Nothobranchius furzeri: one gene and its partner. The protein of the gene in region 1 binds, or shares a complex with, the protein of each later gene. Links are inferred from orthologs where the notes say so. Each region holds a gene or a part of one and is shown in the gene's direction. Other genes may lie near its edges.

Region 1 (4,012 bases):
AGGGGGGGAAATGGATGCATGGATATTTTAATCTTGCTTCTGCCTGCATTATGAATATCAACCTTGTTCTATATTCATGGTTATATGATATTACTAATTTAGTTTTAGAAAATGAAAACGGAAAACCTAAAGACGTATCAATGGAACTCATGAACACACACACACACATGTCTGTCTTTCTATCATAGTGAGGACTTTCCATTGACTTCCATTCATTTTTGTGACTCCACTATGCCTAACCCATACCCATACCCTACCCATAACCAATGCTGAGCTATTGCTAACCCTATAACAACTTAATTCACACCATATCTCTAAAACCCGCTGGTAAGCTTTTTTAAAAAATGAGGACCAGAAAAATGTCCTCACTTATAGGGAAAATTGTGAAAATGGTGTTCAGTAATTCCCCTCAAGAAATCACATCACTCATGTTCTTAAAAACCTACACTGGTTGCCAATAGGATCATATGCAAGATCCTACTACTTACATTTAAATCTGCATGGCTCCACTTTATCTATGTAATTTACTAACTATTGCTACCACTTCCCGATCTCTTAGATCCTCATCTGCACTTCATCTGGTTCAACCTCGAGCTCGCCTTACCACCATGGGGAGCAGAGCTTTCAGTTGCTCTGCTCCACGGCTCTGGGACTCACTTCCCTCTGTCATTAGAAATACGGACCCTTTTCCATTATTCAAGGGGCACACCTGAAAACCCACTTATTCAAACAAGTTTATTCCCTTTAGACCTAGACTTTAGAATTGTTTCAAAATTGTATGTATCTTGTTTGTTTTTATTGCCCTATCTAACCTCTGTTGTTTTTTGTTTTTATCTTTGTAAGGTTACCTTGGGTTTGAGAAAGGCGCCCTCAAATAAAATGTATTATTATTATTATTATTATTATTATTATTATTATTATTATTCAGTATGTAGTAAGTACTAGAAAACACACACACACACACACACACACACACACACGTGCGCGCGCGCGCGCCGTTGGCGAAATGCATCCTCTAATTGCACAAACTCCTCTCCGCTAGAGAGCGGTAATTGAAAACACGGGGCAAAGTGGGGATCCTTCTCTGCAGTTAACAGGAGAAGAAGAAGAAGCTAACGGGAACTAGCAGGCTAATCTCCACAACGCTGTCGTGGTTTTGTGATTCCCTGTTTCAGTATTCGTGTTTTTTTTCCCTCACATATTTTTGTGTTTTATAACTTGGTAACCTAACTATACCCAAGTGACAAGCGCCCGACAAACACCGGTGGACACGGTTTACAGTAGCTCTGTATGAGCACTTCTGCTTTTCTCCCAGGATACTAGCGTATCACCAAGGCAGCTAAGTCGGCTAAAGGAGCCCAACAACAGCGCTGTCCGGATGCTTTGAACAGCAACGGAGCCGATTTTTGGTGGAGTTTTCAAAGCCGGTCTTGCGTGATGTCAAGCAACCGGCCGCAGTCAAACAGTGGCGGGGCAAGTTCGGTGCCTAGCACCAGCAGCAGTAGCGCAGGAGGCAGCGGGAGCACCACCGTAACAAGTAATGGTAACTCTTCTGGGAACGTTGTACCCTCCCGGGCTATAGCAGCCGGCGAGAGCGGCTTGTCTGTACCAACTCTGTCCGCCGTTTCGTCCCGGGGCGAGTTCTCTTCCCTCAGCAGACCATCTTCAACCTCGGGAAGCAGGAAGAGATCCCTCCATCCAACACCTTTATACAACGGCCTGTTGGATTCATACGAAGATAAAAGCAATGACTTTGTCTGGTGAGCTCTCTGTCAGCTAACCGAGACTGTGCTGTGAAAGCTGAGTTTCTGATTCATATTTGTCTTTTCTTTTAGCCCAATTTGCTTTGAAATGATAGAGGGGGCGCACATGACAAAGTGTGGCCACAGTTTCTGGTGAGTGTGGAGCTGCAGCTCGGGTTGAATTGAATGAAACACCTTAGAAACACTATTCACTCACAGATAGTGGCTGTTATTCATGTTGTTTACAGTTAGGAGTCCGTTTGAACGGCGAATCTACTAGTTTTTAGTTATTAAAACTAACATTTTACATTCGTTTTCGCAAAAACTGTTAGTAAGGTGATTCTAATGAAATGCCCATCAAATAGATGGAATAGGTCAGTTTAAAACTAAATGAATGCAATCCTTATTTAACAAGTAAAGATCCTTGAGATTTAAAATGCCGTCTGCCAGAGTTACCTGGCCCAGACAGGCAGCGGCAGGTGATTGAATGTTTAAAAAATGTTGAAAAACCAGTTTGAATTCTGTCAGTGAGACATATTCTTTCAGATTGAGTCAGTTTTGGAGCTAATTCCTATAATAAAGGGCAGAATGTTTGAGTAGCTTAAAGGGGAACAAGTCGTGTCCACACCTTTGGTTTGTTTGGGGGGATCTGAGTATAATCGGAGAAAACCAAGAGTATTTTTTGAAGTGAGAAAACAAATACAATTATCAGTTGTATTGGAAAGGTCAGATTTTTTGCGGCAGACACTAGAGGGTGAGTTTTTTTTCATTCCGTGATTTTTAGAACAGACTTGTGTTTATTTCTGTGTTAAATGCTCCCCTTTCCCCTGTTGCAGTTTCAAGTGTATTCACAGGAGCTTGGAGGTCAGCAACAAGTGTCCCAAGTGTAACTGTATTATTGACAATGTGGCTCAGCTGTACCCCAACTTTCTAGGTGGGTGTTTTAAGTTGGATGGTTGTTTTTACAGTCATCATTTTGAGAATTTAGCTAGTTTCGTTTTAAAATAGGGTTGGGCATCGACTGGAACCGGGACCAACTGTTAGCTTTTTTTGGAATCGTTCAAAGTTTTTATTTTGATTCCTAGTAAGCCGACCGGAAGATGACACCAACACTCGTGTGTGTGTGAGCGTCAGAAGGCTGAACAATAACCTGTAAAGTCATCGTGCTAGAGCAGCTTTCTCTGTGGTGGACCACACCAGCTTCTGCCACAATAAATAATAATAATAAATCACATACAAAGTTGTGAAATTTCCTTTCTGAACTATTTCTGTTGAGAGTTTTAATGTTTAAATCTGTTAGATTGTTACTGACAGCAGCTGCATTTAAGTTTCACTTTCTGTTGTGACTGAATGCTGCTGCAGCATGGAGGTGTAGTTCTCAGTCATCCTGGACATGATCATCCTGAGAGTTTTAGCTGAAAACAGTTGCACGTTTCTGGATATGTTGGAGACATTTAGCCTCTCATCCCAGAGGCTGCTTCCAGACTTTGGTTGTGGTCAGAAACAAACACACTGGTTGTGCTGCAAGTCTTTTTCTTTTTTTCTCCAAAACATGTTTTGGTCTAAATGAAGGTGATGCTGTTGTTCATAGAATTAAAATTCATGTTGAAGTTAAGATTGTTTCATCAAGTAGGACCTGTGGTTAGCTGGCTCATGTAAAGCATGTCATGTCTTGAAAGAATCGGAATCGGGAATCAATAGGAACCAGAATCGTTCAAAATCAAACGATGCCCAACTCTAAAAATGTGATCAAGTCGGTGTTATCCTGCTCAAAGAAGGAGCTTATGTTGTTTCTCCTTGTCGCCCTCACTCTGCCTCTGCTGCCGTTTCCCAGTAAATGAGCTGATTCTTAAACAGAAACAACGGTCAGAGGAGAAGAGACTGAAATTAGATCATCCGGTGAGTGGTTCACATTTTATTCCTGCTTTGTCTTTTCCTTCTTTGTGACTCTCAAACTTGCAGACTTGTTTGTTTTAGAAAAATCTGTTTCTTCCTGCTGATCATTGTTTTCGACCCCTAGAACGGGCCGCAGTGGCAGGTCTTTCAGGATATTTTGAATCCGGATCAGGAGAACCTGGACCTTGCAAATGTCAATCTGATGTTGGAACTTCTGGTTCAGAAGAAGAAGCAGCTGGAAGCGGTAAGTCATTTTGTGCGTGTCTGCGAAGATGATTGTAAGAGTCATTTGTAGCCCATTCCTCGTTACCCTTAGCTAAGCAAGGAAGTGTGTTCCGAGTATAGAATTGGCACATGTGGCTGCAGAAATAATG
Region 2 (3,945 bases), on another chromosome or scaffold:
TAAAACAAGTAAAGATAGAATTACAATAATATAAACGAGAAGAAATAAAAGCATGGATAATCATCTCCAAGTCCGATTTTGAAGTAAAAGCTCTCAATTTGGAAATGTTTCGCAAATGATAAAAAGCAGTTTTTTACTAAACGTTTTGAGTGGCAGCTCAAAGACATGGATTGGTCAAGAAGAACACCAAGGTTTCTGAGACTGGTCTGGACTGAGGAGCTCAGGGAACCGAGGTGTTTGATTAAAAGCACTTTCTGTTCAGGAGCAATGATCAGTGTTTCGGTCTTGCTTGAGTTCAACTGAAGACAGTTACTGGCTAGTCCTTAATATGCTCAATGCAATCAAGTAGATCAGCTAACTTGTTAAACTCTGTGTCCTTGAAAGAGCAGTACAGTTGAATGCCATCTGCATATAAATGGTAGGACACTTTAGTAAAGCTTTTAATAATCTCCCCAAGAGGGCAAATATATAAAAGGAACAAAACTGGGCCAAGGACCGAGCCCTGGGGAACACCGTGAAGCAAAAATGTGACTTCAGACCTAATCTTGTTTACACATACAGAGAATGTTCTGTTATTTAAATAGGAAGAAAACCACTTCAGAACCGTACCAGAAATTCCTAGGACATTGTGTAGTCGATGTAACAGAATTTTATGGTCAACCGTGTCAAAAGCTGAAGACAAATCCAATAAAACCAGTACAGTACATGGGCCAGAGTCAGTACATCATTAGATACCTTTAACAGAGCTGTTTCAGTGGAACAGTGCATCTTACGAAAGCCTGATTGGAACTTATCTAAAACATTATTAAGATAAGATGACTGCTTAGCTATTTGTGTTAGCAAGCAGTTCATCAAGTGTTCTTAAGGAAATGACCAGCGACTGTGAACGCTGCACCTCACCGAAGCTCATTTCCTCATTTTTAATTTAATTTTCCACAAAAAAATATTTAAAAATCAATCTTTAATCAATTAACGGCAATTTGGGGGTGGGCAGTGGGGGGGGGGTGCCCCCCTCTGACCTGACTTAGGGGCACCCCTGTTGAAAGTGAGATGACATTCATCTTCTTCAGGAGCTTTTTATTCTAATCACAAGAGGAAGACAAGTTCTCCTGTTTGCTGCTCTAACTGGTGATAAATGGCAACATGAGCTGAAGATCAGAAAATTCCGAGTTTGTTAATGATCGTCTGAAACGTGATGAGGTGTGAGAGGCGGGTCTCATTCCCGGTGGTGCGTTCACGTTCTTGTTTATGTATCAGCGGAATCGCAGAGCTCAGTGCAGGAATGTTGAGACTCTCAACATCCTGATTTCTCTGAAAGGTAAAATCTAGCGTCACCAGACACGCGCACAGTGAGCTGGAGTCGGTGCCGCTACAGGATTGCTCAACGCTTGTGTCATCAGGAGGCTGGACTGGTCGGGCGGAGTGTTTCAGAGCTCATCACCGGAGCTTCTCACTCTCAGCCTCTCTCTGAGTGTGAGGCGGTCTCCCCTCCTCTCCCCCGCTTTCTCTTTCTCTCCCTCTCTCTCTTTTCTTTTTTTTCCCTCCTTGATTGTGGATTTTTTTTCTGATCCAAACCTCAAAAGGAAGAAGAAGGACGCGGTCTGGATTATCAGCCAACGCGTAAAGTTTGATTTGTGCCAGCTATGAGACGGAGTGGGTTCTAACCACCAAGGGACGCATCTTTTTGCTTGATTTTATTCACATCTATATCATTTTATCTTCATGGCGAGCCGGTCGTTCAGGATGAACTTGCCGTGGAGCAGTCCTGCACCCTGCACCCGGAGAGTCGCGCACAAGCGGCTGGACTCGGACGACCAGCCGCCGGCCAAGTGCGCCCGGCTGAGCGCTGAGGCGGGGGACGCGCAGGGACTCCTGGGTACGTCACCCGGGTCCCCGCTCAACCCCGCGGCCAACCCGGCTCCCCACCACCAGGGACCGTCCAGGATAGGTCCGTTCCTCCTGCTGCCGCTCGCGGACCGGGAGAGCATGCACAGTGCGATGAACACCGATACTGGCGATGAGCTGCTGTGCAAGGTATGCGCAATCAGGTCATTGTGCAATTTCTTTGAATGAATGATGTTGCTCAACAGTCCGTCTGACACGCTATCCGTATTTAGCTCACCTTTTCAGCAAAATGTCATCCTCACGCTCCCTTTGCGTAATAATGTTTCTTAATGCTTCCCCCCTTATAACCAGAAGTCTTTTAAATACGCAATCAAGACCAGCCGTCGCCTTTCTGCATGTTGTGGAAACAGTCTCCCATGCTCAGCATTCACACTGTCTCTCAACTCGGCTCATTTGCATACACGTCACTGCCAAGCCGTGACAGTAAAATGCAACATGTTCAGCAGAATAATAATAATGCAAGATTAGAATCTATCCAGATAAAAACTCATATCTGCACCAGTATGAGGCATCAGGTGACGTAATGCATTAAAAAAATCCCAGCCTGATTTAGCTTCAAGTAATGGTGACCGTCATAAGTATTCACGATTAAATATGAATATCTAAATCTAAATATTTAGAATAAAAATCTAAATATTAAGCAATTAATGCAAAATATTTACAATCAAATCGAAACATTATATTTTTAAGGCTAAATTCTAAATATTTACAATGAAATCTAAATATTAAGAAATCAATTCTGAATATTTAGAATCCTGTCTAAATATAAGTTATGTCTAAATATTTAAGACAAAAATCTAAATATTTATTATAAAAATCTAAAATTTAAGCAATGAATTCAAAATATTTAGAATCAAAAATGAATATGAAAAGTTACTTCTAAACATTGAAGTTTCTAACCAAAACATTTATAATCCAATCTAAATAAGTAATCAAATCAAACATTTAGAATACAATTACATTTAGTACATAAAGTTCCATCTAATTAGCAACAATCTAATCAAAATATTTATATTCATGTAAAAATCTAAATATTTAGAATCAAATACAACAACAGTGCTCAAATTCATATACACCTGCAGAATTTTGTTTAAACAATTGTTGCTTTCTGTAAATCCTATAAACTTTGTTTCACATATCACTCCTAAACCCACTTTTTTTTAGGTTAATTCCTTTTCACAAGCCAGAATTCCAACAGTCACATTTTCTAATTGGTGCCCCATACTCCAGATTCTGTTTAGGTTTGCATGAAAACAAAATCCCTGGAGGCCTTTTTGATTATGAATTCAATCATTTAACAAAACACTTTTGCAAAAAGCAGCCGTTGAAAATCATACATGTAATATATATTTATATTTGCCCACTTGTTACCTCCTATGATAGGAAGACTGACTCTTATTGCCTCCTTCCTTCATGTTTCCACTCTGCATCCCTACACCTCCCCTTCCTCCTCTCTGATCTCTCCGCTAGGTCTTTGACATGGCAGCCTACCTGGAGAAGATCAGAGCCTACGGGCTTCTACCAGCTCACAGAAACGTGGCTGGCATCCGGGACATCATCCTTGGTGAACGCAAGGCCTACATCTTCCTGGACAAAGACTTTGGGGACATGCACACCTTGGTGAAGAGCTGTCGCCGGCTGGATGAGGGACACGCCTGCAGGCTCTTCCGCCAGGTGGCTCAGGCTGTGGCGCACTGCCACCAGAAGGGAATCGTGCTGGGTGACCTCAAACTGCGCAAGTTTGTCTTTGCAGATGAGAAAAGGTGAGCCGATCTGATGTTTTCTTTATGGAGGCGAGAACCGTTGTGCTTTTATGTTGATTCAACCAGCAGAAAGCACAGAAGATGACTTTTAGGTTTTTAAATGATCACACACAAAAATTCAGCTTGAATTTCACGTCGAAAGAAGTTCGACCTTTGGGACAAAGTTGGCTGCAATCTGCAAATTTACCACTAGATGTCACTACATCCTGAAAGATGTTCCATGGACGAAAAAACACTAAGATTTGATTTCAACTTTTCTTTCTTTTCTGAGCTAGTT

Evidence for each region.
Region 2: the proteins of cop1 (region 1) and trib1 are in contact, whole or in part, in a crystal structure (PDB 5IGQ), measured with the Homo sapiens proteins. The link is inferred for Nothobranchius furzeri from reciprocal best matches to the Homo sapiens genes COP1 and TRIB1. Residues at the interface, in NP_071902.2 of Homo sapiens: Ile423, Ser425, Val441, Lys472, Tyr491, Trp517, Asp534, Ala556, Asn557, Cys559, Ala576, Asp577, His578, Lys600, Ala601, Ser603, Thr618, Lys643, Asn644, Phe645, Phe699; in NP_079471.1 of Homo sapiens: Asp355, Gln356, Ile357, Val358, Pro359, Glu360, Tyr361.

Annotation. Positions count from the first base shown.
Region 1 is NC_091751.1:60,897,753-60,901,764, forward strand, and holds the start of cop1 (E3 ubiquitin-protein ligase COP1), read left to right. Parts: upstream 1-1,204; 5' UTR 1,205-1,437; coding exon 1,438-1,760; intron 1,761-1,835; coding exon 1,836-1,895; intron 1,896-2,578; coding exon 2,579-2,676; intron 2,677-3,576; coding exon 3,577-3,641; intron 3,642-3,762; coding exon 3,763-3,882; intron 3,883-4,012. UniProt on the Homo sapiens protein: E3 ubiquitin-protein ligase that mediates ubiquitination and subsequent proteasomal degradation of target proteins.
Region 2 is NC_091759.1:11,611-15,555, reverse strand, and holds the start of trib1 (tribbles homolog 1), read left to right. Parts: upstream 1-1,140; 5' UTR 1,141-1,722; coding exon 1,723-2,034; intron 2,035-3,375; coding exon 3,376-3,668; intron 3,669-3,945. UniProt on the Homo sapiens protein: Adapter protein involved in protein degradation by interacting with COP1 ubiquitin ligase. The COP1-binding motif is masked by autoinhibitory interactions with the protein kinase domain.